Saccharomyces cerevisiae S288C: one gene and its partners. Changing the gene in region 2 together with the main gene of any one other region gives a genetic interaction. Each region holds a gene or a part of one and is shown on either strand. Other genes may lie near its edges. The genes, in order: RIF1, CDC13, NMD2 and BMH1.

Region 1 (10,277 bases), on a different chromosome or scaffold from region 2:
CTTGCCATCAGTCATCCTGATTTGCAAGACGCATTTGCTGCTGTGCAGTTTTTGTGCGTCTTTTATGTAATCATGAACATCCAATGGCTTATCATCATCAAGGGTTCTGTGATGAGTTTCATCAAGAGCTTTTCTTTCTGCACGGTCTGCCCTAACAAGTCTTATAATTCTTTCTCTTTCCTCCTCAGCCAGCTTTCTTTGTTTCAGTTGTTCACGACGTTGGATCTCTAAGGTAGTCTCAGCAATCCGTTCTCTTGCATTTTTCCTATGGACGTCTCTGGATGACTTTTCTTCTCTAGCCAAACCTGGATTGGTTTCCCTGGACGAACTCTCACCAGCCTTTTTGTCTTTGATGCCTATGCACGCCAGCAACTTCTCCCAATGTCGGTCATCCTCGCCTTGAATAATCAATTCTATCTTTCCAGCACGTATCAAGTATATACTGGGTACAACTACATTAGGAAATACTTGCTCAAATAACTGGAACTGCTCAGTGTCTTTGACCAACCTCAACCAAATACTATGTTCCGCTAAAGTATCTAATGAGACATCATCTCCTTTAAACCAACTTTTCAGCCACTGGTCATCCCGTGCAGTGTTGTAAACGGCCAGCACAACGCCTTCCTTGATGGAATCGTTTATTGCTTCTTCCACAGAATCTCTAAACAGTGCTTCTAACATTTGGTTACGGCTGTTTGGTTTAGCTATCCTTGCTTCTTTGTAAGTGCTTTCAACCTCAACCCAGCTCCCTTTTAAATTTTCAACATTACTACGAGGCCTGCCGAAGTTAATAAAGAGCGGCTTTAAATGTCATTTTAATAATTGAATGGCAAATAAAAACAACTACAGCTTCAAACATAAGAGTATATCATAAGTTGCTGTATATGGGCAGCACGTATTACTATGAGTCTCTCGCAGGTGTCACCTTTACCCCATATCAAGGATGTTGTTTTAGGAGATACAGTAGGCCAAGGCGCATTCGCCTGCGTTAAAAATGCTCATCTTCAAATGGATCCCTCCATTATTCTAGCTGTTAAATTCATTCATGTTCCCACTTGCAAAAAAATGGGACTCAGTGACAAGGATATCACAAAAGAGGTTGTTTTGCAATCGAAGTGTTCTAAGCATCCTAATGTTTTGAGACTTATCGATTGTAATGTCTCTAAAGAATATATGTGGATAATTCTGGAGATGGCAGATGGTGGTGATCTATTTGATAAGATTGAGCCTGACGTTGGAGTTGATTCCGACGTGGCCCAATTTTACTTTCAACAGCTCGTTAGTGCTATTAATTATCTGCATGTAGAATGTGGAGTTGCTCACAGAGACATCAAGCCTGAAAACATCTTACTCGATAAGAACGGAAATCTGAAGCTAGCTGATTTTGGGCTCGCCTCTCAATTTAGGAGGAAAGATGGTACATTACGTGTATCCATGGATCAAAGGGGTTCTCCACCCTACATGGCTCCTGAAGTATTATATTCTGAAGAGGGTTATTACGCAGATCGAACAGATATATGGTCTATTGGCATCCTCTTGTTCGTATTGTTGACTGGTCAAACGCCTTGGGAATTACCTTCATTAGAGAACGAAGATTTCGTCTTTTTTATTGAAAATGATGGAAATTTAAACTGGGGACCCTGGTCAAAGATAGAATTTACTCACTTGAACCTACTCCGAAAAATTTTACAACCTGACCCAAATAAGAGGGTGACATTGAAGGCTTTAAAGTTACATCCTTGGGTATTACGTCGAGCTTCATTTTCTGGGGATGATGGTCTCTGTAATGACCCTGAACTCTTGGCTAAGAAACTGTTTTCTCACTTAAAAGTCTCACTGAGTAACGAAAATTATTTGAAATTCACTCAAGATACAAACTCTAATAATAGGTACATTTCTACTCAGCCAATTGGTAACGAATTGGCTGAGCTTGAACACGACTCAATGCATTTCCAGACAGTTTCGAATACACAACGTGCATTTACCTCGTATGATTCAAATACGAACTATAATAGCGGAACAGGTATGACACAAGAGGCTAAGTGGACGCAATTCATAAGCTATGATATCGCTGCCTTACAGTTTCATTCTGATGAAAATGATTGTAATGAATTAGTAAAACGACATTTACAATTTAATCCGAATAAACTTACCAAGTTCTACACGTTGCAACCTATGGATGTTTTGTTACCGATTTTGGAGAAAGCCTTGAATTTATCACAAATTAGAGTAAAACCCGACCTTTTTGCGAATTTTGAAAGATTGTGCGAATTATTGGGTTATGATAACGTTTTCCCACTTATTATAAATATTAAAACCAAAAGTAATGGGGGTTATCAATTATGCGGTAGCATTTCCATCATAAAGATTGAAGAAGAGTTGAAAAGTGTCGGATTTGAAAGAAAAACTGGTGATCCTTTAGAATGGAGAAGATTGTTCAAGAAAATTTCAACTATCTGTAGGGATATTATCCTAATTCCCAACTGAAAAAAATGGAGACAAAAGAAGGGTTAAGATGCACTGATCAAAAAAAAAAAAAAATTCTTTCTACTTATTATATATCTCTCTCGATTTCTAGTGTGTCATCGTAACTATATATTGTTTCGAGAGATTTTATTATTGTAATTAATTTATTGCCATTTTGATCTATTCTACATACTAACAATCAATTCATATCATTATCCCTGTTTGAGTAATATTCGAGCCTCATCATAAAATCTAATAATTCAATTCTCAAGTTTCTTCTTTCTTCCACAGATATTCCGTTCAAGTCGCCCGGTGTGAACCCTCTCAATCTGGCCACTAACCTTCTCGACTTTTTTGAAAAAAAGTGCACTTTTAATGAAGGTGTGGCTTCCCTAGATGTAGCATCTTCGTTACCATCTCCCCCCAACAAAGGTTCGCCATCTGCTTCTGTGTGGGCTTGGCCTAATTGAATTTCATGGTGTTTTTCTTTTCCACCAATTGTTTTTGGTACGGTGTCTAAGCCATTCTGCGCGTTGATATTTGTATTTTCTGTCATTCGAGGAGGTGAATCTGGTGGCATTAACTCATTCCTTTGCAATCTCTTTTTCAATTTCTCTTTTATTTGGCTCTTTGACCCTTGCATTTTCAAAGAATTGAAAATGGGTATACGAATTTCTGGTAACACTGAAATATCAGCAACTTCGGGTTGTTCTTCTAGACCTGTCTCTTTAGATACCGCATGTTCCATTGATTTTAAAAAGCCCTCATCTCTGACATTTTCTTCAACAGGTACAAAATCGTCATTAATATTGGCATCCTTATCTCCTTTAAGCGGTCCCTTCAAATTTTTATTAAGTTCGCATGTTCCACTATCTTCTAAGCGTACATTGATACCTTCTTCGGTCATAACAACTTCCCTAGATTCTTCTTCAGTGCCTTGAATGGGTGTGCTGTCCATCCTGTCATTATTTTTGTTTCTACTGTTTATTGCACCCACTTGATGTTTCTCTTGCGCAACCGTTCCATGTTCATCTTCATCACTACGCAAGTCATCAACTTTTGATTTTTCTGTCTGCTTTGAACTATTGAGAAGTATAGTCCCACTCGGGATCTGAATGCCGTCTCCTGGCACCTCATTCCTTACTGGAGAGGCTTGTTCAACATTACAAGCATAATCGTTGTTTTCACCCTCATTATTAGGACGGGCTTTCTTCACGCTCTTGTACTGTGCAATATTGTCTTGCGTAAAACTTTTACTGTTGATTTTATTCATACTTTCCTGGTTCTCCTGTCTTTGAACATGTTCAACTTGCCCTTTTCCATCTTCCTTTGTTATGGTTTGCTGGTCAAGATCTAAAGTGACATTCAAGGAATTTTCATTACAGTTTGTTTCCACTTTTATGCTATTCCTTAAAGCTAACGAAGATTCTTCGTTGGCTATACTCTTGATGTTAGTACATATAACGTCACTGCTAGGCGACACCGCTTGTTCCTCAGAAACTAAAACGTCCACCATCGTTTCATGACCTTTCGATCTTTTATTTTCAGAGGTAGGCGTCTCTTTGGAAGGTCGTTTTAGAGGATTATCACTGTTAACAACGTTATGATCAGGATTCGTTTTGATAGATCTATTTGTTACCGCCTTCAGTTCGCTAGTGAGAACTTCTATCGGTTGGTATGCGTTCACTTCCGAGGATTGTGTATCAATACTTTCATGCAGCTCAGTAACATCCACCTCATCGCTTTTAGTAGAACAAATGTTGCTATGATTGGCCACGTTTTTATCTAACTGCGTACTCTTCATCTGCTGATCTATTTCTCTAATGCTTTCATTATCCACTTCCTCTAGTGTTTCATCATCAATTGATCTGCTTCGGTTAGCATGTGATTCTTGCTGTGAAGAATTCATTATTGCAGTATTTTTAAGCGATATTGAATCTGAATCTTTCGCACTAATCTGGGAAGATATTTGAATTGAGGAGGGAGGCTCTTTCATTCCCTGCGTAGCCGGAACCTGGATATCTTGAGAATCCACTTTTCTCTGTAAGTTTGAAAGTTTATTTTCACTCCCTTCGCATGGAATATACATCGACTTAGTGTCAGGTATAGCTTCAATTTCCTTACTTGAGTCCCCTTGATGAACCACGCCCGATTCCTGTATCCACTTTCCTATTGTCTTTAATGTTGCATTATAGGTTCTCTTATCTTTAAACTTACGATTATGTGATTTGATGAGGTCAATCAACAGATTAACCATATCAATAGTTTGATAGTTAGGGTTTGGCGGTAATATACTAATTAACATGGAAAAAAATTTTTTGGCGGCACTTCTAGAAAGCGGTTTAGTGAGATATAATAAGACTAATTCACGGAGCATATTTGTACTCTTTTTGTGTTTTTGCATATTAGAGCTAACTGGATTTAAGAAGAAAACTAAAAGTGGCTCCTTTAATTTTTCCAAAATTTGGATCTCTTTTTGTATAATAATCTTTTCAAGCAACTCCAATATATAATCATCATCTCCATTTTCAATTTTTTCAATAACTGCTGCCAGTAACTTCCCATTAGGCTTCTCCTTATACGTCAGTAATTTTAACAGTAGCTCTGGACTTATTTTGAAAAGAACTTCGCTGGTCATATTTCCGCAAAATTCATCCAAATGATCCGCCATATTATTCTTTATGCAAAAATTCAATAGGCCACTGAATAATGGTTCAATGGGATTTGCCATCGCCAGATGAAGGAGTTCTCTGATTATTTCTGATTTTTCTAACTCGCTATCAGACGCATTTTGTAAAACGTTCTCGATTTCTGAAAAATTTTGATTTAGCTGTTCAAGTTGTTGACCCTTCAACAGCCAACGAACTAATGTAAGCTGTTCGGAGCACTTGAATAGTTTTATGTTTGCTGCAAAATATGAAGCTCTGCTACGTGGTAACAGCTTCAATAGGAGATCTGAATTTAGATCAGGGATGGAATTTAGTAAATTTGGATTGGAATGAATACAGTACTCCAAAATATCCATAAATTTGTTACGCCTTAAAAATGGGAGCAGACCGGAAAACAGTTCAGGATTCCCTGGTAAAGAAGTTTTTAACAGCGTGATCAGATCCACGTTTAATTTGTTTTCATTTTTTGAAACATAGCTTTGAATGAAATAAATAAAATTATTGTTCGACCACATAGACACATGAAGTAGTGTAAACAAATTAACTGGAAAGCTGAGCTTCAAACATAGGTCCAAGAAATTTTCAATGGAATTTTCATTCGGAACTTTGTTCACAATATTCGCCAAACTCTGAAATTCTCTGAAAGATATATTTGGTGGTAATAACGTTGATCCAACCCAATTTTGGGCATATACTTCTGTTTTCTTATCATCCAATTCTAGAAACTTTTCTATTATCAGAAATTCAGATGTTTCGTTTCGAGCTTTCCTGATAACATCTTTTAAAAGATCAAGGGTCATGTTTCCTTGCGAAATACCAACTTTGGAAATTTGGATATTGAAATTTACTAATGATGAATCATTCTTTCTTAAAAACAGGTCCAAAAATGTATAAACAAACGATGAAGTAACAGCACCAAAAAAGTCACGAAAAATGGGTGTATCTTTGTTGTTTTGCGTGACTTTTAATATAAGACTGCTAAAGGATTCTAAATGAGTTTGGTCCTTTCTATCCTCTGGAAGATGCTTCAAAGATGTAAGGATCAGATCATGAGCCAAATTAACGTTAGAAATGGCTACTTCAACAGCCTGGAACACAACTTTCATGATTTTATCGTATTCACGCTTGATGATCTGCGGGGGCAGGCTTGAAATGTCTTTTAACTTTACACCTTCTGAGGCTATAACACTCATTGGGTGAATATGCTTTTTATATTTTCTTTCCAATGCAACATCTGCATTCTTTCCCCCAATTAACAAATGCAAAACTGTGAAGAGTACATTTTGCAAGTGAATCGAATCATATTTGAAAACATAATCTTCATAAATCGGGGTTATTAGGTGGTCCCAAAATAGTTCAAACATATCTGTTGACAAATTCTTATTACTTGTAAATGCAGTGTAAACAACACCTAAAAGGTGGTAGATGATCCCTTCTCTAGCGCTTGGATCATTCACATAAGGAAGCGTCATTTGAAAAGGGGTTCGTAAAAGTGACAGTAAACTTTTGTTTCCTTCCTGATTTTTCTGTGATATTTTCGTGCATATGCAGTAGGTAATAATTCTCCAAACTTTGATGGACATTAAGCGAGTCTTGGGGTGATTATTGATAAAGCACAGGTTATTTAAATCAAACCAAACTTTGTTAGATTCTGATGTCAAATCATAAACTCTCTTTCCGCTATCGTATAGTAATCCGGTCATTGAAAGCCACAAATCCATTGCTATTTTATTGTCATTTTTGACCACAATATAGTTTTTTATCTGCTGTGTAAGAAGATGACCAATTGTCACTTTATCTAAATTAGCGCTGTCATATGAATTTAACGGTAGTTTAGATAAAAATTTTTCCGGGATTGTTTCGCATACTGGAGATAGCATGATACACTGGTAAATCCTTTCATGTTCATCAACAAAATCTAAGCATTTTTTTAGTAGTTCCAGTAAAACAACTATTGAAGTTATGAGAATTTTCATGGAGTAAATTTCATCTCCGATAATAATCCTAGGTAGTACCTCACCTGGTAACCAAGAAGTTACCGTCTCAATCATTAATTTTGGATACTTGCTCAAAAATCCCCTTATAAGTAGCAATTTTTCATATATTAGGTTGTGACTATTGATTTCCATTATTTCAGTGAAAGTGCTAATGATAGGTTTAATTTCTTCGTTGCTCAAGAAAAAAGTACCAAATTTTTCGTCTCTCAAGAAAGAGACTTGTGCTGTTATGATTATCTTGTTTGAATTTTCATTTCTTAGCGCACCGGTGGTCCACCTGTAAATAACTTTTAACTTATTAACCAAATCTGGCCTTTTCGTTAGCCACTTAACGATTTTGAAATTAGACATAATAGCACTGAAGAATCGAACTATTTGAACATATAGTCTGATTACAAATGGATTTTTTTTTTCACTACTACTTAATAATGTGTCCTGTGCTATTTGTAGATGCGGTATGCATATTTCAATGATACTTTCTATATTCACAATTAGAATATTGAATTTCTGATCAACCTCGTTAACATTTTTAGTGGTTAGAATGGGTATAATATTATTAAAGGTTGCGTATACCTCAAACCTCCTCGCGACGTAATCTTCAGATTCTTGTCGCAAGATGCCCAATCCGCCCTCAATAATTTCTTTAAACTCCGAAACACTTTCATTATCAACTAAACCATGGATCTCACCACTCACCCAATACTCTAAGGCGCGAGGATTTACCCTTGTTTCCTTATAAGGTGATGTGAAAATATTACCGTTGTGTAATTTGTGTTGGGTATATTGGAGTTTATTGTAACTCAAGTCGCTTACAGTCCTCACTGAAGGCAACCTATTCCTCAAAATTGATTTTCCTGGTTTGCTTGATGGAGAGGGTTTAGGTGAGGAACCTGGTATGCGGTAAATCGGTGATGATTCTATCCTATCAGAAAAAGCTACACTTTTTGTAACCGGTGATACATTATCACTATTAGAGGCAGACAACTCTGGAAGACTTTGCATTAGCCTGCTTCCTGTATCTTCTGGATATAAATTCTTGTTAATAGCTGATAAATCAAATTGTTTATTCTCGCAATCACTTGAAGACGCTAGCTTTCGCCTCTTTGGCGTTGGCGATAGATCGCTTTGTATATGCATATGAGCTTGTGGAGATGGAGGTGGCAAGTTAGTTTTCATCCACGGAGAGCTTCCATTGGAATAATTATCGTGTTGAGACCTACGGAGGATATGCTGATCAATTCGATCTATCGTATGTTTCTTTTTATCTGAAAAATCTTTCGACATTGCAAATTGACCACAAAAACGATTTTGCAATGGCAATCCTGTAATAACGTTGACGAATATATATATATATATTCACTTTTATCTCCTTAGGTACTGATGCCGACGAATTGCCTCAAATCGCTCTAAGACTGCGTTATTACTTTCGATCTTCTTGCTAACGATGAGTCGCCAATAAATAAAAAATCGACGCGTCGGTCAATTATAGTAACTTCTATTATTGTAGTAAATATGACATAAGAGGAAAAACACAAAGAACTGAAAATCAAAATGGCACTAATCACCTGCCTTCTGTTGACTTCTTGTTTCTTATCAAAAGTAGAGTATATTCACGATGTAAATCTAAGATAGCTGTCCTTACTATATAAATATTTGCTGCGGCCCTTTTTTAACGATTTGTAAAGGATTACAGCAGTTCGTTATACTTGGCTGATAGCGTTAATTTTGCATACTTTTCTTATAATTGGTAATTTTCCTACGTATTATACAGTTGTACGTATACTTATATAACAAAGTTCATGTGTACTTCATATTAACCTCAGCGATACCCCTACAGATGATGTGCCAATCCATAGTTTTGTCTTTTTCGCGATTATAATGCTTTTTCCACCATTTGAAGAGCTCATATACGAAGAACAAGTTTGGTTGAATGATAACATTAAGCCTCCGTACCCTCACAAACAAATACGCACTTGCCAGGTCACACTGGAGATATCTCATACATTCAGCTATACAAACTGTTGCAGATCTGGAGACTCCGACCATACAATGCACCAGAACTTTCCCTCCTGTTGCTTCGGAATTGCTAATAAAATCCAAAACTTTGTCTATTTGGTGGAAAAGCGGATCTTTGCCGTTGTCATCTAGATTTTCGATCTGGCAAATTTGAAATCCAGAATTTTCACTTATTACTACGTTGCTGCCATTTTCTTGCTTATCGCTGACCACAGTATCAGCTCTATTTCTGCTTTTATTACATGTAGTATTACCTGCAACTTCATTGGTATTCGTCATAGTTATTGCACGATGTGGCCTTACAGGATGAGCAATTTTATCCTTATTCAATGTCCATGAAACAACTTCACCGACAGAAACTATATGCGTAATTCCTAGAGACTTAAGTAAGGCAGGATTTTGTGCATGATCCAGGGATCCCAAATACAAGTGACGTAGAATCCGGGATGGCAGTGGGCCCTTCAAATTAACGAAATTAGACTCAAGAGGAATCTTCATAAAAAATATGCTACTAAAAAGCTCTGAAGAAATGTGTAATTGAAAGCTTTTATCCCTAAATTTCAATGCATTGGCATATAATTTTAGATTACTTCCATTCTGCGGACTAAACTCCCGCAGGACAGGTTGTAAATGGCCTAAAATTTGCAAGTCTGATGGAAAAAGGAAAAATGGTCTTGGATGGATCCTCAAAAGAGCGTCTTGTAACGGAATATTAAAGTGGAATATAATATAAGCTGTTAATAATAATGACGTTTCTGTATATCCGTCTTCGCAATACATGAACGTCAATAATTCTTGAACTTGGGATACTTGAAATATTAAATAACAAACATTCAAAAGAATTTCCACAGACTGAATGTTTAAGTTCCCCAAACCTATACTACCTGAGGCAGGGAAAGTCAAATGCAAATGCTCTTGTGATTTTGACGCATCATCGTCTAATAAAAGATCTAGATATGTTCGGATTTTCGTTAACGACGGCATTTGCGAGTTTGACGTACATTTTATGATCAATTTCCACACCTCTTTTGTATTCGGTATGTTATACAGTTGAGAAATGGAGGTTGTCGGATTGTCCGTATCATAATTTAGAGACTTTAAATTTACTATGCTTGTATTCTCTTCGAAA
Region 2 (7,473 bases):
TGCCGGGTATTATTGACGTTTTTTTTTTCTTAGTCTCTTTAATGAAGAAGGAAAAAGAACTAAGTTATTATTAGAAGGAAAAGGAGGAGGGGAGGCGAGAAAGAATGGTGGAGAATAAATGAAAATCTCCAAGAAAAAATTTCAGCACGATACATATGGATTATACCATGTCACAAAAAAATATTTCGGTTGGAGGTAGATGCAGAGTTATGGTACTGCGAATGTAGGAAGAAAAAAAAAATTAGGAAGTATTTTATGGTGATTATTTCCTTCCTAGTCGCGTACCGTCACTGGCCCGGCAAGACCACCATCCCCAGCTGGTTCTAACTCAGCTGATGGCACCTGCTTTCTTGTTTTCAGTTTTTGAAAGAACTTGCCATTGCCAGCCGGAGTAGTGGTGGTTGTAGGTTGAGGCTGTCCAACCACAGGTGCGGCTGTGATAGGGCCCGCGCCGTCCGTCGCCCCACTATTGTAAGTGGATTTCTCCATTTGAGCACCGGTGTCAACAGAAGGGCTTTCATATTGGGCATACATGTCGTGGTCCGAGTAGGTAGAGTGGGCCTTGTGGGTAGCACTGAATATAGTGGACCAAATGGCGTTCACGAGCATCAAGAAGACCGAAGTCCAGATGAACGCAAAGTTTTTGGGTCCCAGCCTTGCAGACCTCCCGCTGTTGCGGAAGGTCTTTCTGGCCTTCACATAGCAACCTGTGTACAAGCATGCAGCCAATATAATGAAGAAAAAGGCCAACCAGGACAACACACAGTACAGGACTGGCACTGCCTTGAAAGGAAGGAAGGTAGCCAGAAAGCCGGGTACCAGCGCCAGTACGATGAAAAATAGGGAAATCAGCAGCATGGCCCATCCAACCCTGGATAGATAATAGTAGGTATCCCGGTTGTTTCTGAACGACGATGGTAAATTGACAGAGTTACCAAAATTGTCTCTGGGAGAGAAAGGCTTGGCGGGCGCCCTGCTAGAGCAATTAGCTAGCTGGCCGTCTTCGTAGCCGCACCAATTGTAATTGTACCATCTCGTGGTCGATGGAGCGCTGTTAAAGCCGTTTGTATCAGCCTGTAACCAATAAAAATTTTTCAGCGTTCCAGATTCTCTGCCTCCTGACAGAATAAGAAAAAACGTCAATAAGCCAGCACCGAGTAGGAATAAAAACACAAGCAAATTAACGAACCTTTTGAAAATCATAGCGGTAGATTATAGTGATTAGTGTTACTTGTTACTTGGATAAAAAGGAAAGTATAAGCGTTAAACGTAAATACCTCTTTCTTTTTAATTCACTTCAAAATTACTGTACTTAAAGTTTGCATCTAACGGATAACTAATCAAGAGAACAAAGCAAGATCAAGTAACTGTTGCAAAGCAACCATCCTTTTATATGTCGGCATCTGCGCCGAATGCTCCTCCCCATTCCAGACTATCCTTGTTTTAGCATCAAGAAGGAAGGAAGACCTTTCATTGACTCTTGCTTCTTACCACTCCCCTCTTTCCCTTTTCCTTCGTGTGAAAACGTTCCACTCCCTTATATTCAGAGCACCCTTAAATTTGGTTATTTGGTCTTTTTTTTTTATATTACTCCGAGACGTCACTGCAATTTGGCACCGCCGCGTTGGGCTGCGCGGATCATGTCTTACGAGGTGGGAACGGCTCCGGCGTCATCGTCATTATCCTCCTCCTTTTTCACGGTGACGCCATTTTGCGCGGCAAGAAGTCGCAGAGGATTGACGGTAGCATTAATTGCGCAATCAAGACTCCCTGAATCAGGAGCCGCTGCAACCTTCGGATGGGCCAGCTGTTGTTGCAATTCCCGAAAGGTGCATTCAATTGGGCACCAGATCTGGAGTGCCACGGTAGTGTCAGGGAACAGCGTGAGCGAGGAGGTTATATTGAATTTAAATGAATGGCCGAGAAATTGTGCCAATTGCGTATATTTTTCCTCAAGAGGCTGACGCTGTAAGTAGGCGCTTGAGCGGTTGAAAAAATAAGCAAAGTTCTTGGAGGTAATGATGTGTAGTTGCAACACTCGCTCCGGGGCCAAGCCGCGGGTTTGTAAAAGTGGGAGCTCATTCGTGATATGGAAGCAGAGATCAGATGCGTGGTACTCGATGGCGATGATACGGCCCTCGCAACTGTATAATGTGTTGCTCTTGTGTGTTTGCTGTGGGCGCGGGAGGCGAGCCGAGGAGTCCAAGAGAGAAGATATATCTGTGAACTTTACATCGAAGGAGGACACGTCTGCATTCAGGTCGGGTATGTGTTCTGCGAGAGCTGGTGTAGTGGGTGATTTTTTTGGTTCATGCTTTACTTCATCGAACCTCAGTTTCGCGAGATGAGAACCGTTTCTATGTATGGGGAAAAACCTCCGGTACTCTTCGAAATAGCGTGAAATTGCGGATTCGCCAATTCTCTTGAACGCTCGTTGGTAGAACAATCTTAAATGTTCGCACTGTGAAGGCGAGGCGATGCTGCTTATTTGGGAATGCGGGACCGGCTCACATTCGCGCACAATGGCATTCAATTTGCCGTTGTACATTTTCACTTTTATATTCATCTTACAAACTATGCCGTATTGCGAAAGGTTTTCATCGCGGCCGTTCTGTAGATCTCTTAGCCCGTTGTTGAATATTTTTCTGAGCTTAGAGTCAAACGTTTCGAATTGGTTTTTGTACATGATGGCTTTGAAGCCCTCGTTCAGCTCTAACTTGTTCTCGTAATCTATTAGATATCTGTCGTAAAGATAGTTTTGGACGATATCGTTCTTGGTAAAATCGCTAAAGACAAAAGATATAAAGGCAGGTTTATCAAACGAGCAGGAGACTAGCATGCCAAACATTGTTATGTATTTGGTCTCAAAAGTGTCGAGTCCCAACTGACAGAATTCGATGGTGGGGTCTTTCCTTGCCATTTTGCTCATCCTTGTGCGAGACGGATCGATTGACGCCGACGATTGCGCAGGCACCTGCACCTGCGCCTGCGCCTGCGTGTCGGTGCTAATGTTCTTCAAACTCCATACTGCCATACCTGGGCTGGCGGTCTTGTCATTGTCCCACAGGATCCTTTCAACTTCGACGGAAATTCGATCAGGCTTTTCCAGTAGTAAAATATCCGATATCTTGTCGCTTTGACAGTTTAAAACACCGAAGAGCTCACAGATTCGCTCTCTCGTCGGGATAACGATCTCAATGCAATTGACGCCTGGCACCAGGACCTTGTCTGGGACATTTGGTAAGAGCTGCGTAAAATATAATTTCAATGTGCAATATTTGAACTCATTTATACTGGCGAATTGAGGTGGATTCATGCCAACAATTTTGCCCTCTAACCTTTCAACTGAGCCTACACTAGCTAGGGAAAGTTGCTCATAACTGATGGCTTTGCGGATTGAGGACGCGTTCGGACTGTGGAAAGAAAGCTTTCTCTTCCTCTTGCTTCCGGAATCATCATCGTGCCAATTATTTGGTACGCTTGTTTTCCTTTCAGGTGTCTGTGACTGGATGTAGGATTTTGAGCTGAAATATTTCCCGGTAGAGGAGGTAGTTGAGGAATCTGAATCCTCAATGGGATCTGCGCTGTCATGCATTTCCTCTCCCATGTTGCTTATATCTGTGGTCGGTTCATCTACATTAAGCGTCATAAGCTGCGAGTTGAATTCGTTTTGGGATTCAATGTAAGGTATCCCTAGTCTATTTGGCACAAAGAAAGGATTAATTGCTGCGGCTTTTGATTTCTGCGATAATACCTTTTGTTGGTCTTGAACGAACTTTTTTAGTTCTATATCGTAGTGAATCAACTTTACAAATTTAAACCTGTTTTTCTCGTCTCTATTCATTTCTATTAAATTGTTGAAGATATCCACAAGTGAGTTGTTCAAATCACATTCTGAAATAAGTTCTGATGACGAATGCTTGCTGCTATTTGTCGATTTTGTAGATATGGTGCTTATCACACTTACCAAATCCAACGGTTTTATGTCCTCTAAGAATAGAGTATAGTTCCCGTGTTTTGATACATATAAAGCTTTACAACTTGAAAAACATAACCTTTCAAGGTGAATATCTCTCAGTATTACTGTTGGGGATGCGCCTGAGTCAGAATCTAAATCTGGCAGTTCAATATCAAAGTATTGGCAAAGTAAGGAAATAGTGATCCGGGCTAACCTCTCCGAGCCCCTATCTTTGAACTTCAGTTTGATTAAATATTGATCTTCTTGGGATTGATCTCCTCGCCTCTCAAAATTAGAAAAGCCTAGCAAACATTTTGTTTCAGTCAGGTGTATTGAGGTTAAAAGCGCCACGAATTGCACGGGAACTATTGCTTTGCTGGGATAGCCTTCAAAATCTTTACTCGAGCTCACAAAAATACGATTTTTATGTGGAGGACACTCAGGCTCTTCTAAGGTATCCATTTTTAGGCGATAGTTTCCACGGTCATTCGTATCCAAAGAGAAACATATATGAATATATTCTTAAATTTCCATTTTGAATTAGCATTTCGCATCTCACTAGGCCTTCGCGTCTCTTATGACGTTGAAAAATTTGGATATCAAAGGTTTAAAAAGTATAATCACGTTAATCAAGGCTGCATGTACATATTAAATAATCCACATATTATTCAGCAGCGGATTTACAATGAAGATTGTCTTACAAAAAGTCAGCCAAGCATCTGTAGTCGTCGATTCAAAAGTTATTTCAAGGTATGTTACCGGTTTTTTCAGCTTCGTTAGTGCACCAATTTTTTTTACTAACACCTCTATCTATGTGACAGTATTAAACATGGTTATATGCTCCTAGTAGGTATTTCCATTGATGATTCTATGGCGGAGATAGATAAATTATCGAAAAAGGTTCTTAGTTTGAGAATCTTCGAAGATGAATCCAGAAATCTATGGAAGAAGAATATTAAAGAGGCCAATGGTGAAATTCTATCCGTGTCTCAATTCACTTTGATGGCAAAAACCAAGAAGGGAACTAAACCCGATTTCCATTTGGCCCAAAAGGGTCATATAGCTAAAGAACTTTATGAAGAATTCTTAAAATTACTAAGAAGTGATTTGGGTGAGGAAAAAGTAAAGGATGGTGAATTCGGCGCAATGATGAGTTGCTCTTTAACTAATGAAGGGCCCGTTACAATCATTCTTGACAGTGACCAATAAGATTGACCTTATAGATATATACGAGAAGAAAATAAAAAGCAAACATTATTTGCAATCTTTCTTTCGCAAGATAAAGTACCAAAATCTTTCCATGTTATGTTCTCAGTGAAGTTGAGTAGAGCGGAGAGGAGCCCTCCCCAAAAAAATGAATACAAAATATCTGTGATGGATTTTTGAATTCACGCTTCCTTCAATAACCTTCGCCAAGAAAGTCTAGAATTGTTTTATATTCTTTACATAAAAGTAAGTAAATCAACTTTAAAAAACTTTAAGGGCGAAAATGAAAAAAAAAAAATGTAAAAGTGAAAAAAGGGACGGCGAAGCGATGCCCTGCCAGTCTTACTAATCCAGAGGGCTAAAAGCATGTTTACAGTGTATTTCCAGTCATAGGAGAGTATTGACCTGGCATGGAAAAAGAAACGCACAATGAGAAAGGGGATATATACCCTTAAATTGACGATAGTTAAGGAGATTTTGAGGTTTGTGTTACTAATAAACCAGTAAGCATACTCGTTGATGACTTTAACGTATATTTGGTTTCCAAGGGATATTGAAACCGTATCTTAAGGGATGACGATGGTTGGTTAACATTCCCTAAAAGACAACGTATAAAAAGGTTCAACAAAGCGTCCGTTACCATTATGCTTTGATGTTCTCAGTACGAAAGTTTACGGTTTTTTTTTTCAATTGAGGAACATAAACCAAATAGATATATTATATCAACGTTATGAAACGAGTTACTGGAGTTTTCTTAACACTTTTGAGATTTTCTCAATTTGCATCATCGGTTTTGGTGATGTCACTTTTGGCGTATGCCATCCACGCCTATGGAAATAGAGGTAATAAGAAAACCAACTTCACATTGGCAACAGGTGTCATTAGTGTGTTTTATCTGATTGCCTTAGGTATTTTGTGTCTGGCCCTACCCACATTGATCTACATAGGAATGTACTTCTGTGCCGAATTGATCGTTTGTATGCTATGGCTAGCAGCTTTCGTTGTTCTTGCCAAAGCTCAAGGTGAACGTAGCTGTAGCAACACTAATGCAGACGGATTATACTATAATCCGTACAGTGGCCAATATACTGCTGACAGTCATAGAAGAGCATGTAATTCTTCTCAGGCGGCAATCGCCTTTTCTGGCCTTTGCTTTGTACTGTTTTTGATCAGTGTGATATTACTGGGAATTAATGTCTTAACACCTATCAGGAAGCGTTATCAAACCCAAGGAATGTGGAGAAGCGGCGCTTCTATGGGTACAAAGCTCCATAGGTGGAGCGGACTAGCTTTAAGCGAGCCTTTTGAAGAAACAGCTGCTTACGATAACACCAATGTTAGGACCGGTGATGTCGAAGCAGGTGCAGGTGATAATGCTGCTTACACATCTGAACCGAATGGCGACGCACGCTATGCAACTAATGACCCCAATGGGCAGTACCATACTACCACCACCAACACACGTTACACCACAACAACAGCGGACCCTAAGACGCGTTACACCACCAACGATCGTAATCCTGGTTCTGCGAATGTCGCTAACAGTGCAGTGGACCAGCACGCTTACTCTACGGATGAGTCAGGTGATCGGTCTTATCAAGAAAAGGTCACAGAAGGAGCTCACTCTGGCGCTATGAGTGGTAGCACTGCAGAACCAAACAGGAACGTCAATCAAATGCCATAAATTCAATGATTTCCTTTTTGTTCGTCTATACCCTTCACATACTTTTTCTTTTTCTTTTTCTTTTCTTTGCTTAACGATTTGAATTGCTCCTGTTCTAATAATGGCGTCGTCTTTTAGAAAATCCTTATCAGGTGTGAATAATGCTTAATTTTTTTTATATATAATGATTTACTTTTATTACTTCTTATTTTTATATTTTCCTCTGTCAAATATGTGACTGAAATCTTCCAATTTATTAATATTAAAGTGTGACTATCACTTGAGTTTAGCGACAGTCTCTAACGCCTCGAATTCATCGACATGGGAAAATTGGAAAGGGTATCGTTTTTACACTTCCCATTTTCTTCCAGCAAAAATGATCGGCCCAGAGTCTAGTTAAAGCATGATTAATTCTCCCAGGGAATTTTTTTGCTTTACTAGTAACAGTAGTTCTGGAAATTATTAAGCGTTCTTAAATTCTGGGACGGTCGTGCAGAATATTAAGATAGGTGATATTTACAAATATAAAACATTCATCGTTCGTCGAAATTGGCTATTCATTCTTTAAAATCGTTTTGAGGTGGTCTACCATCCTCACTTTTCATATACAAATCAATTGCAGCTGAAAAGGCAGCAAACCCGGCAC
Region 3 (7,902 bases), on a different chromosome or scaffold from region 2:
TCATGCAGTTGTTCAAAATTACACCAATAACGATGTTATCTTTAAAACTTTCCCCAGAAAGAAGATGGCACTTTTGCACTAAATACTTCAAACTATTTAACTTTGAAGCAGGACATATTGCCGGTTATTTGACCATGCTGGCGCCGTTGACATTCATGTAAGCAGTATTAGCTTTTAAACTGCCATTAACGCACCTATACGATTGCGGCGGTGCGAAAACAGTAACTAGCACTCTTACGGCTCATTGTTTCCTCTATCCAAAGTTGCCTATATCACAATAAAATTAGAAATTAATCATTTTAATAAGCTTGCTGCCATTCAGTGACTCGCAATCTACGTTTTAAACGTAATTTAAAAATCCACTTCCACCTACATATTTTGCAACAGTCGTACGACAGAAACTGAGGCTCTATAAAATGAGATGTGCTAATTGTTCTTTCTTGGCTGGTTTCAGCTACATCTTTCTGTAATCAATCTACAAATTTACACGCGAGCTTCATTTTGACAGTAAACAAATGTAAAAGACACATGCAATAAAAGCGGTCCAGAAAACAAACGACAAAGCCACCAAAAATGTTTGCAAACGTTGGATTTAGAACTTTGAGGGTCTCGAGAGGTCCCCTTTATGGTATGTTTATTGTTTTATTCATTGGTGTGCTAATTGCTAAATTTGCGGGACAAATGCTAATCGACTCAGAGACTAACTTTTCTCATATCATAGGATCCTGCAGTCAAATCATCAGCTTTTCCAAGAGGACTTTTTACTCAAGTGCCAAGAGTGGGTATCAATCGAACAACAGTCATGGTGATGCGTATAGTTCAGGTAGCCAATCAGGCCCGTTCACCTATAAAACCGCGGTAGCTTTCCAACCAAAAGACAGAGACGATCTGATATACCAAAAACTAAAGGATTCTATTAGATCACCTACAGGAGAAGACAACTATTTTGTTACATCAAACAACGTTCACGATATTTTTGCCGGTGTCGCAGACGGTGTTGGAGGATGGGCTGAGCATGGGTATGACTCCAGCGCCATCTCAAGAGAATTGTGTAAAAAAATGGACGAAATAAGCACTGCTTTAGCAGAAAATTCATCCAAAGAAACGCTTTTAACGCCAAAGAAAATTATTGGTGCTGCATACGCAAAAATTAGGGATGAGAAAGTAGTGAAGGTTGGTGGGACAACAGCCATTGTGGCTCACTTCCCATCTAATGGAAAATTGGAAGTTGCCAACTTGGGTGATTCTTGGTGTGGAGTCTTCAGAGATTCTAAACTTGTATTCCAGACAAAGTTTCAAACTGTTGGATTTAATGCTCCTTACCAATTGTCAATCATTCCAGAAGAAATGTTGAAAGAGGCCGAAAGAAGGGGTAGCAAGTATATTTTAAACACCCCCAGAGACGCTGATGAATATAGCTTCCAATTGAAAAAAAAGGATATTATTATATTGGCTACCGATGGTGTAACCGATAATATTGCCACAGATGATATTGAGCTTTTTCTGAAGGATAACGCTGCGAGAACAAACGATGAGTTACAGCTATTATCCCAGAAGTTTGTGGACAATGTTGTCAGTTTAAGCAAGGACCCCAATTACCCCAGTGTTTTTGCGCAAGAGATTTCTAAGCTAACTGGCAAAAACTACAGCGGTGGTAAAGAAGACGATATAACTGTTGTTGTCGTGAGAGTTGACTAACACTCCGCTCTTTAATCTCCTGGAAAGCAGTGTAAATAAAAATACAGCGTCATAAACGGTACTATATAAACACGTAGCCATTTAATAGAGCCAAACATAAGTGGGCATATATAGTAAAAATTTAAAGAACTATATTCGCAAAAGAATCTCAGTCGAAAGAACGTTTTAAAACAATCTTTTTAATCTTGTTTCGCTCGGTTTTTAGTTTCTCTTCTTCTTCAAGGACATCAGAGACAAATTTCACATCCGTTGGTAATTGTAAAATTCTTGATTGTGTCTTCTTACCGCTTTTAGTCAAGAACGTAAATGCAATCTTCTTTGGCTTGGATAACTCTTCGTAGGTCTCCTTGCTTGAAGAAGGTTCTTCACTCTTTTTTAATAATAAAGGTTTTTGAACGCTGACTGGCTTCGAAATTACTGGAATTTTACTGGCAACAACCTTTTCGCTTTTCCTTGCGTCTATGGATTCTTGCATCATTTTCTGAAATTGCCTTTCCAATTCTTCTTCCGCTTTCCTTTCTTCCTCATCCTTTAGTTTTCTCTCGTACTCTTCATACATTCGTTTCATTTCAATATCTCTGTCTGCGTCAAGATCACCACCATACTCCAAATCAGAGTCGCTGTCTTCTTCTTCTTCATCATCATCATCCTCATCATCATCATCTTCATCATCATCCTCATCGCCTTCTTCTCCATCATCATCATCATCGTCATCGTCATCGTCATCATCCTCGTCATCGTCCTCATCGTCTTCATCTTCACTTTCGTCTTGCTTTGCCTGATGTTTTCCTGGCGCTGACTCTGTGTTCGGTGTACTTATCTCCGCGTCTTCATCTTCTCCTAGTAAATCGACACCATCGTCGTTTTCATCATCTTCATCCTCATCATCTTCGGTGATTGACTCGATAGGAACAGCACTCTCCTTACCGTTGTGAATGCTTGCAGAAGATCCCTTCACTCTGTCGTCTTTACTTTTTATTGCGTTTAATGATTTCAGTAAACTTTCCAACCTTGAGGCACTTTCTACCAAATTTTCTGACCTTTCAAATTTAGTGTTTCCGAAAATATTCTCATATTTTTTAAATGTGCTTGAAACTCTGAATTCTGTTTCCTTGGGTAAAGGTTGTTCTTTAATAAAAGTATAATACTCGAAAAACCTCAGCAAAAGTTTGCATTTCTTAGTAAAAGCTGCAGGGGTCCTGTTGATATTTAACAGAATTGTAGTGACTAGTTGAATCCTGAAATAATTATCCGGTGGATCTGAGTAGTTTAAATAAAATGGATTGGGTTGATTGTTGATATGACCAAACCGAATAATGTGGTAGATAGTATCTAACAAAACATCGGATTTTATCATTTCAAAGTTGAATATTTCAGTTAAGTATCTGACATTTGATATTCTATGCATGTTTTGTCCATAATCGTTAATTTCTAAGCCTCGCTCAATGTTTTCCAGTACTTGGTCTATACATCTGATGACGAAATCGCGGCGGTAACTGTATAGACCGCCTAGAACTTTTGTTAATAAGGGAATATTTTGATAGCTAATCTTATGTGGTTTTGAAAACAGAGAAAACAGCACTTTCTGAATAGCTACATCGTCCCAGTGAGCTTTCCGAACCAACTTGACAATGTGTTTGAAGTCTAGGCTACTTAGTTCACTTCTAATTAATATGCGATAAAACTGTTGTTCAGGCGTTATTGTTTTTACCGTAACATTTAATGATTTTACAGAAGGGGGATAAAGTAAAGTAATTATGTTTTCTAAGGCGCTTTTCATGTTCATGTTCAATTGCCTATCATTTTTTTTATCCTTGATTAGTTGGACCATTTTTTCCATTAATTCCTTATATTCTGGCTTATTTAGCAGAAATTTCCCTGAGTGCTCCAACAAAACCGTCAAAATTTCTACGTTATTTGGAACTTGCATATACATGATTAATGTTCTAATCTTATGAAAAATCATAAACGATGGTATTAATTGAAATTTAATCATTTCACTGAAGAAGATGATGTTTTTAACGTTAATCTTATTAGAATGTAATTGACTCCTGAAGCCATTGTCTAGGTAGTTAATAAACTCAGAAACAATTTCCGGCATATATTTGCTATTTGTTGCAATAAATCTGGAATACACTGGCAGTTTGCTCCAATCTTGTGTTTCCATGAAAAATTTCAATATTCGATTTCTTGTGGCTTTGTTGTCCAAATATGATGACCAATATCTATTTGAAAGGTCATCGATTATATCTTTACAATCTGCCATTTCCAAATCCGTAAAGAATAGATTGATATTTTTTGAGTTAACGTTTGAATCTTTTTCTGTTTTAGAAGATTGTGATTCTTCTACTGTTTTTGAGATATCTGGTAAGATTTCATAAAATTTCCTTGTATCTTCATTTTCCCATAATCGTTGGTTGGGTGGCAATATCTGATTCGTGATCATTGGAGAAGCTGTTTCTTTCAGATCATCATTAGAGGCACCTTCAAGCTCCGGAATTTCTAACTTAAAAAATTCTCCCAAAGTAATTGCAGATGTCTTGAACCTAATGAATATTGGAAGTAACTTGTCGTACTCCTCTACGTACTCATCTCTCAATTTTCCCGTTCTTATTTGGCATTTCTGATGTTCTCTTTGCAGTTTATTGACCTTCTTATGCAGTTCTGTGGCCCTCGCAAAAGTGGCGTCTATAAAATTCTTAAACAGAGACTGTAACGCACCTTTTAACTTCGAGTCATATATTAAATCATCCCAAGAATTATCATCGTCGCGAAACAAAGGTGCAAATTTCTTAATAAATGCGGTCGCAATAGTGGTAGTAAAGCCCAATTTGAACTTATAATTAAGAATCTCTCTGAGAATACTGAATAACAACGGATCCTTTCGCCCAGTTTTCTTCTGTAGGAAGTTTGGAATAGCATCTTTCGACTCAATATCATCCAATGTTCTAAAAACTCCAACTAAATAAAGCTCGGTAAATACCCGAAGATTACCTTTAACTCTGGTTATCCTTTGAAGCTCATCTCTTTCGGATTCAATGTCAACAGAGGGGTTCTCAAAAGCTTGTAAAAAAGCTCCTAAAAGCGGACTAGTAAATCGGCCATTGAACCTTTGATGAAGTCCACTTATGATCTCAACAGCGGCAATTACGTCATCATTTTTATTCAAAACATTTAGCAGACATTCTGTTACCGTCACTATTATCTCTGATAGGTACTTTTCCAAGGACGCCTCACTTAAATCTTTCAATAATGAAGATTCTGAACCTTTCACAAAACCCTTCTTTAGTTTTTTTATAAAGCCAGTGTTTCTCTTTATACTGGAATCCAGTTTTTTACTTTTCAGGGGAAAGACTTCTTCGCCATTCCAAGCTCGGGTGTTCAAATCATGCAATTCTTTTTTCCGTCCATCCTGTTGATACATAATTGTTACCGTAGTTTACAACGATCAATAAAAGAAGTTAGTATAAAACCTTAGAAGTACTGAAAGGCCGATCTGGCCACAGTAAGATAAATCAAACATACGTCCATAATTTCTGTCCAATGTATTATCAATGCAGATACAATATTAGATTATTTAAGCATTTAAGTTGATTGTTACTGTTCATTGTAAAGTAATATGGGCCTCATTAGTTTCTCAAACCTGTATTCGAATGCAGTTTTTCAGTGACTGCCAAGAAAGTGAAAAAAAAAAAAAGAAGCAGGCTCCATCAATTCGTATCAAGTGATAATTATCACATAAATTATATAATTGTAAACCTATTAATAACCCTAATATCATCCTCATGCCCTAAGAAATATTCAATATAACCCCCTAACAATATCATAATATCCCGTAGTGATCATAGAAACGCTATATGATGGTGCATAATTAAGATAAAGGTCATTCAGGCATGAAATAATGAACTTTAGTGAACGACTTAGTCATACAGAGTCTATTTTAGCTTAACCATTCGGTTTTATTTTACAGTCTAGACTCAAACGAGTGAAAAATTGCGATATCTGCGATGACCGAGTCCTGAACAATAAAAATTGACCAGCAGGGAAAGAAAAGGAAAAGATCTCAACTCTGGCGGTTGCCTCCAGGACCTGCACTAGAAAGGACTATTGAGTGTAGACTAAGTGGTGGACGGGATGGAGGCACTTATCGTATTTATAGTGCTTTCCGTATCCGGAGCATTTGCTTACAAATGCTCCTATGAAAGGCTCTGGTTTAAAGTAGGGTCTTTGTTTGACATTATATCAACTTCCTCGAAGAAAAATGTCATTCCGTTGGCAAGCAAAATGGAAGTTGGCTCGAATGAGGATGTGTCTAGTATGGGTAATTTCATAAATAAATTCTACACAGAGTATTCTTTACCCTCACATAAGGTACTGCAATCACTGCGAGTCCTTTTTTCATTAGCAATGATGACGTATACAGTAACCATAGAGATTATTCTATGGCAGATTAAGGTTGCTGGAATGGACAAGGAAGTTACTTTCATAACGACTTGGGTGTGGCCTCTGACTGCAATCATGCTATCCTTCATACTAATTTTATTTCAGCCCTTTTTCATTATAATATCGTTACTGAATAAATTCTACAATGACAAGTTCGATATCGATAGGTTGATAATAGTGACATGCATAATCTTGTCCACACTTATTGCGCTGTTAAGTTACATAAATATTGGACCGTTCCAGTACACAAAAAATATTCTAACTAGATTGTCCATCGGAGGCGTCACAGTCATGGCTTCCCTATCTGGGTTAGCCACTGTTTCTAGTTTATACTACAACTTTTTAGTCATCTGGCACAAGTTTCGTAATACACCAATGTCAGACCCCAGTTTTAGAAACATCAACAACAGCAACAATAACAGTAAATCTCTCTTATGGACAACAGACGCCTATATAGAGGAAAAAATCCAAGATTATGAACACAACATTGAACAAAATGTACAAATATTAAGAAGTTTAGAAGAAGAGGTCGGAGAAAACTCAACTTTTAAAGCAGAGTTGATGGAAAAAATCGCCTGGTATCAACTGGAGCTTGGGAAATTGGAAGCATTATTACAACAGTCCCCTCAGGTACGCACTTTTAAGAAAGCTTTTGAAGTCGGGTTTATCATATACTGTCTTCATAAACTAATAATAACTTTCCTGAAAAGAATCCCCTATATCATATACCACTCGCTCAAATATCCAGATGACTACGATTATGAAAATTTTAGTGAAAATGCAGCATCCGATCCTTTAGCCATTACGATAGCAAATATTTTGGATTTTTCGTTTTTCAGGTTCAATTACCAGCACGATCTCGATTCGTTAACAAAACAGATATCGTTATTTTTGTCAATTTCTCTCTTTCTTTGCTGTCTTTCTGCTGTCAATACCACCATCTCCTACGTTGTGACCCTTTTGCCCATAAAGTTCCAGATTCTTGCACTTTTCGCCATGCAGAATGATGACACTGCTAATGTACTTCCAGAGTACACCAATAACTCTTCCTATAAGGGAAAAAAGAGAAACTATTCTCAGGAACAAAAAGGAATATCTTTGATAAAAAATCTGGTGGTGTCAGAGTTGACTGGCGTCTACGTTTTGGCTACAACGCTAATGGTTAGGTCCCATCTCCCTTTTGAAGTATCACAAAGATTAAAGGAGCTATTGGGTGGAAAGTTTACCGTCCCAAACATTGTCATAGATTCTTGGTTTGATGAAGTCTACGCTTTTGCATGTGTGTTTACCTTTATTTGCATAAGAATTGCAGAACGAAAGCTTTCCACCAAAAAAGTCAGTGTTGAATAACTGGAGTAGTATGTCGATGTTCGATGTTTATGAGATATGTATTTATAAAATTAAATGTCTGTCGGGTAGTTTATGTAGGGATGAGAAAAGTAGTATAGGTTCATGAAGAAGTACAACTTTTTTTCATTTATGCAAGGGCGTAAAAATTATGGATGGTTACTACTAATGATCAAAGTAACATTAATGCAATAATCAACCAAGAAGAAGCAGAGGGGCATGAACATGTTATGAATACAAAAATTCACGTAAAATTTGATCGTCACTTAAATTTTCCTTGACAATCATATAAACACCTATTAATAGGTTTGGAAAACGCTTGGTGAAGTAATCGTAAAATCCATCGGGTACCGGCCCCATTAGTTCTGCTATATCTTCAGGTAAATCCATAAAATGATGATATTTATTCCTAAG
Region 4 (5,685 bases), on a different chromosome or scaffold from region 2:
ATGGTACGAACATGACCTATCCTGGTGGGAGTGCGAAGAACAGCTCCTAACCCGCGGACCAATTGTGATGGTTGGCGTTTGAATGAAGCAGCAAGCATTGGCACAAATGTGGTTTCCTTTCTTATTGCTGTATCCAACTTTTGTGAAGATACAGGTGCGACAAACATAAAAAAGTTCTTGCCGTTAAGAAGCTAAAGTTGCTTCTCGCTATACCAGAGGGGATTATTGTCGGGAGTCATGATGCGACATTTACCCGGTTGAGTAAGGAAGGGGTGGAGGAATCAGAAGAGAGATAAATAAACATACACGTCAAAACAGTATAGTTCAAGTAACACATATAGACATGTACACGCGCGATTACGTGTGTACATGCACATGTTAATGTTATATACATATATAGATATAGATATATAATTGCAATAATGAACTACAAATTATTACACCCCCGTTCTTTTTTTTTTCTTTTTTTTAGTAATTTCTCTTTAGATTTATCAGAATACTTACTTTGGTGCTTCACCTTCGGCGGCAGCAGGTGGCTGCTGTTGCTGATGTTGTTGTTGTTGTTGTTGGTCTTCAGCTTGACCGGACTCGGACATGTCTGAAGTCCATAAGGTTAAATTGTCCCTTAGCAGTTGCATGATAAGTGTGCTATCTTTGTATGATTCTTCAGACAGAGTGTCCAACTCAGCAATAGCGTCGTCAAAAGCTTGCTTGGCCAAATGGCAGGCTTTGTCTGGAGAGTTTTGAATTTCATAATAGAAGACAGAGAAGTTAAGAGCCAAACCTAGACGGATTGGGTGAGTTGGGGGTAACTCTGTGGTGGCAATTTCAGAAGCGGTCTTGTATGCTTCTAAAGAGGCGTTTGTGGCCTTTTCTCTAGCATCGCCACTAGAAAATTCAGCCAAATAACGGTGGTAGTCACCCTTCATCTTATAGTAGAAAACCTTGGACTCGCCAGTGGTGGCTGATGGAATTAAGTGGGAGTCTAGCACGGACAAAATATCGTCGGAGATCTTAGTTAGTTCGGTCTCAATCTTCGAACGGTACGAACAAATCAACTCGACCTGGTGTTCGGACTTCTCCTTGGACTCCTCCTTTTGCTCAATAGAAGAAACAATTCTCCAAGAGGCACGACGAGCACCAATAACGTTCTTATAAGCAACAGACAACAAATTACGCTCTTCGACCGACAACTCTTGGCCAGAGGAGGCAACAGTCTTCATGTTTTCGACCATTTCTTCATAACGTTCGGCCTGTTCAGCCAACTTGGCTAGGTACACAGAATCTTCACGACTGGTTGACATTTTTATCTTTAGTTTATCTTTAACTTGCTTTTTCTTCTCACTTGCTTGCGCTCTCAATTTTGAAAAGTAGGAAAAACTAAGTTATTTTTGCAGAAACTACACGGTTTTATGTTACGGTTCGTCTCGTTTTCAGGTTTAAGGTCCAATAATAAAGAGTTTCCTTTTCCTTTTTCCTTTTTGCTGCGCGTGGAAAAGCGTGTCTTTTTCTCATACCCCTGTTTTTTTGTTTTTTTTTTTATTTTTTTTGCTTTTCTTTGCTTTTTGCCTCGTCCCCCCGCGCCCCGGCCACAAAGAGGAAGCTATTTGCCACCGAGCTTCCTCTTTTGACTCCAGGCCGGAATAAAGTAGCTTCCGCAAAACTTCGCTCCACTTTCCAAAGAGGAAGCCCGTCACGTGGCTGCGCTGTCTCCCCCCCCCCCCCCCCTTTTTCCCCTGTGTTTTCGATCTACCGATTTTCTGTTCTATAACTACGTCCATTATCTATCTATATCTATCTATCTCTGCATTGCGCAATCAATACATAAACAGTGGATTTTCTTGCCGCCGCCTAGCCGGCTAGTAAGCTGTGAGATCAGTGAATATGACCTCTTGTTCCTCGAGGTAGGTAATGTAGTCTTTCCATAGGGGGTCTCCTTTTCTTAAGACATTCTTGTTGCCCACCACAATTAGTCCGTGCTTGGCTCTTGTCAATGCCACGTTTAACCTTCTTTTGTCACGTAAAAAGCCGATTTTGTTTTCGGTGTTATTTCTGACACATGAAAATATGATGAAAGATTTTTCGTGGCCTTGAAAGGAGTCTACGGTCGCGACGTGTAGGCCGTTGATGATGTTAATCACATTGTTTTGTAGACTGCCGGCGGTTCCTTGAGAACCAGCCGCGTTAAATAGCTCAATTTCATCGTATTCTTGTTGCATAGAAATCTGTTTGGGGTTGATAACTACGTTTTTGGTCAAGATGTCAGACAGCAGATCACGCTGTGCAGAATAGGGCGTTATGACACCAATTTCTTCCAGCGGAACCTTCTTGTCCAACATTAGTATTTGGATAATCTTCACGATTTCTACACATTCGTGTTTGTTTTCGTACGTAAACCCGACTATGTCTCTTTGCGTGCTTCTCACTCTGCTCTCGGGCCCCAAATCGCACTGATAAAAAAACAACGGATGCTGCACGCCAGGCCATGCCTTTTGTTCGTCCGTGACACCGTCCTTCAATTCACCATTGTATATTTTCTTAATGGGGAATTCGCTAATTTTTGGGTGCATTCTGTACTGCGTATCCAGCATTAGTGGGTTTTTGTACGTGCCATTAGATAGGACTCTTTCGAATAGTGAGGTTTCCAGTTGAGGGATGTTGCTGAAACTTGACAATTGCTTTTCGTCCCCAACGAAGACAAAATTTCTTATACCTGGTAACGAAAGTGGGACTAGTGTTGAAGCCTCTGATGATTGTGTAGCCTCATCCATTATTACCACGGGACATTCTTTTATAACCTTCAATTCACGACCACCTGCAGCAATGTTTGTCGTGAAAATTATTTGCGATTGAGATACGACCTTGTTGGTGACACGGTTTTTCTCTTTATAAAACTTCGTGTCCTCTGATTTGGAGATCATTTCGCCCCTGCGGGTTTTGTTTGCCACGACTTGCATGTCTGGGGAAAGATTTTTGTATACAATATTGTGGAGACAAATTTCGCCCAATGGGTGGTCATCACTATACTGTTGTTCTTTCTTCTTTGACAAAATTCTTAAGATCTTTATCTGCGGTCTATTCTCCATAATCTTCTCGGCAATGTTATCAATAGCAATATTTGACGCGGCAACACACAATATTGGGAATGCGTGAAATCTTTCAATTACTTGGATGATTATCTCCTCTATTGTTGATGTTTTACCTGTACCAGGTGGGCCTTGTAGAATTGTGATACTGTTGTTTAGAACATGTTCCACTGCAGTCTTCTGAGATCGGTTCAACTTGTCACTGGAAAATTTTAGCCTGTTATCAAAATAAATCTCTTTAATAGGCTTTTGGCCTAGTAATAGGTCAATAAATTTTGGGTTTGTAATACGCGTCATGGCAAATAGAATTCTACTTGTCTGCGCAGAAGTTGGCAATAGCTTAAATTGAGATGAACCATTTTTCGTTGGCAAACTCAAATTATTCCACGAAAAAAGCTCCACTAACAACACGTATTTACCCCTTTGAATAGAAAGTTCTTTGATAAAAATATACCAAACTTTTTGTTCATCCTGAGTACAAAAGAAAAATGGTTGCCTTTCATTAAATGCCGGTCTACCGAGTGCAAGCAAATTTGCAGGTAGTAATTTCTCAAGTTCTGAATTATTATTCTTCTCAACGTTGATTATAAAAGCTGTATCTTTTTCATTGCGAGGCCATAGTATGTTGAAGTTTTGAACAAATTCGTTCTCTAATTTCTGTTCCAAAAAAAGGGCAAATGAGTAATCATTTAGGTATGTGTTCAAATCGGGGTATGATAAGGTTGACTTAAAGGTATTATACCTTGTGAGTGGTTCACCTTCTTCGTAAATAAGTTTCCCGTCCTTAGTTTTTCCATTATTTTTCTCTTGATTTTTTGTCTCCAACTTTTTTGGCATCGTTGTTGTTTTTGATTTTTCATTCAGCGTCGGCTTGCTAGCCTTCTTATTGCGGTTTCGCGATTTAGTAATTGAAGTTGTGTTCTCGTTTGGGCTAATACTAGGTTCTCTAGAAGATTCAGTATCAGATCCAATTGTCCACCTGCTAGTTCCCTTATTTGGCTGGTTATTTGATTTTTTGCCAAGTGCATTCTTTCTGCCAGCTGAATTTAGTTTGGCCTCTCGCGGATTCTTATTACCCGTTTTATCATTGCCCTTAGTCTTCTGGCCAGCATGGTCTTTTTTCCCTTTTTTCAAACCAGTAGTATTAGTACTGCCCGACCCGTTTCCATTCAAAGCTTTTGGTTGCGGTAATTGGTGCTTATCCACTGATTCGTTCTTGCCTTTCCCTCCAGAGTTTGTTGTAACGTGGCTATTGGTATTTTTTCTGTCCTCTGGTATAGGTTGGCTGTTACGGACATTATTTCTAATGTTTGTTTTCCTCTCTTTCTCTTTTCCTATCCCATTTCCACTATTCTTTTTGTGGTTTGCCTTATTTCCTTTCCCTTTGTTTCGATTTGATGGGCCAGGATTACTTCTACTAGTCTCTGATTTGCTTACTTTTGCTGCAACTACTGGATCGCTTTCCACCGCTTTGAAACCTTTGAAGTTTCTTAGATTGGAACTACTAGAGCTTTGAATGGTACTATTTTCTTTCTTGACTTCATAAGCGATTCTACTTATTTTGGCCTCGAAAGTTTCCTTTTTCTCCTTCTTAATCTTAGCACCCTTCCTGCCCTTCTTTCCTCTACCAACTCTTCTGCCGCCCTTTTTTCTAGGCTTTCTAGTGCTATTCTGTGTTTCATTCAGTCCCAAGTAGATGTATAGGAATCTTCCACTTTTTTCAGAAACAAAGTCTTTAGCTCTATTCGATTTGGGCAAGCACTTGTCACATAATACTTCTCCATTTCTATTTGCATTCAAGTTAGACTCTTCCCCACACTCATCACAACAACATTCCCTGACTTTCACGTACTTTTCCCAAAATTTCAATATAGAGCCGTTTTGTAATGAGTAGCTAGTTGATGGACGCTCCGTTTCTGAATATTCTTTCCGAAAACACGAATTACAAAGTAAAACCATGTCTTCACCCCCAAACCTGATGATTTGAAGTTGGTGTATATTTTTATCTTGACATTCCTCACAGCAAATATCTTCATCATTTGAAGTGTCGAATACAGTTTTATGCCTCGTACTTGAGAGATGCTTCATCATCTGCTCAGCATCATAAGCCTGGCTACACGTTCTGCACTGAAAATCCATCGTGTAGTACTTCTTAGTCTGCGGAACTCCTTATATTGTCACAACTTTGTTCGAATTCTTCAAATGATGAACTTACATTATACATCACTCTTGAGCATTTTAAGACTCTAAAATCGCATACAAATAGCATCCATTACCCGACTACACAGGAATAAAATACGGCGGAAATATAAAAAAAAAAAAATAGCGGCATCTTCAATATCTCTGTACTGATTACTAAATAGACGGTAACCAATTCACGTTGCCGATCGAGGTGTGACACATCACTGTCATGTTCATTTTACAATTCTTATTGAGTGAGAGCGCTTGTATAGAATTTCTATCTTTCTTTTAAGAGGTGCAGTTCAAGTAGGATTTAGTTGGAAATGATAACTTGTTTGAGTAAGCTTTGGTTCCGCTTGTTATGACCTGCTTCATTCTCATATAACCTCATTTGTTAAAAATCTAAAAAAGAATCAAT

The links.
Region 1: mutations in CDC13 (region 2) and RIF1 together harm fitness more than expected from each alone (negative genetic interaction), as found in Saccharomyces cerevisiae (5 studies listed by BioGRID, with this or other methods).
Region 3: of CDC13 (region 2) and NMD2, a mutation in one rescues a mutant of the other (synthetic rescue), as found in Saccharomyces cerevisiae (6 studies listed by BioGRID, with this or other methods).
Region 4: of CDC13 (region 2) and BMH1, a mutation in one rescues a mutant of the other (synthetic rescue), as found in Saccharomyces cerevisiae (5 studies listed by BioGRID, with this or other methods).

The regions. Positions count from the first base shown.
Region 1 is NC_001134.8:748,691-758,967, forward strand, and holds RIF1 (DNA-binding protein RIF1), read right to left. Parts: upstream 8,417-10,277; coding exon 2,666-8,416; downstream 1-2,665. Other genes in the region: UBX7 (Ubx7p), read right to left, coding at 1-681; serine/threonine protein kinase CHK1, read left to right, coding at 904-2,487; tyrosine/serine/threonine protein phosphatase PPS1, read right to left, coding at 8,930-10,277. UniProt on the Saccharomyces cerevisiae protein: Negatively regulates telomere length by preventing telomere elongation or promoting degradation of the telomere ends. Recruited to telomeres by interaction with the C-terminus of RAP1, which binds directly to telomeric repeat DNA.
Region 2 is NC_001136.10:60,599-68,071, forward strand, and holds CDC13 (telomere-binding protein CDC13), read right to left. Parts: upstream 4,421-7,473; coding exon 1,646-4,420; downstream 1-1,645. Other genes in the region: FMP45 (Fmp45p), read right to left, coding at 274-1,203; DTD1 (D-tyrosyl-tRNA(Tyr) deacylase), read left to right, coding at 4,644-4,708, 4,780-5,167; YDL218W (uncharacterized protein), read left to right, coding at 5,895-6,848; translocation channel protein TIM22, read right to left, coding at 7,385-7,473. UniProt on the Saccharomyces cerevisiae protein: Single-stranded telomeric DNA-binding protein that regulates telomere replication. Has a role in both positive and negative regulation. Promotes [TG(1-3)] strand lengthening via interaction with EST1.
Region 3 is NC_001140.6:250,528-258,429, forward strand, and holds NMD2 (Nmd2p), read right to left. Parts: upstream 5,230-7,902; coding exon 5,224-5,229; intron 5,111-5,223; coding exon 1,847-5,110; downstream 1-1,846. Other genes in the region: type 2C protein phosphatase PTC7, read left to right, coding at 574-628, 722-1,698; YHR078W (uncharacterized protein), read left to right, coding at 5,833-7,491; bifunctional endoribonuclease/protein kinase IRE1, read right to left, coding at 7,717-7,902. UniProt on the Saccharomyces cerevisiae protein: Involved in nonsense-mediated decay of mRNAs containing premature stop codons. It interacts, via its C-terminus, with NAM7/UPF1.
Region 4 is NC_001137.3:541,230-546,914, reverse strand, and holds BMH1 (14-3-3 family protein BMH1), read right to left. Parts: upstream 1,305-5,685; coding exon 501-1,304; downstream 1-500. Other genes in the region: PDA1 (pyruvate dehydrogenase (acetyl-transferring) subunit E1 alpha), read right to left, coding at 1-98; ECM32 (RNA helicase), read right to left, coding at 1,860-5,225. UniProt on the Saccharomyces cerevisiae protein: Involved in growth regulation.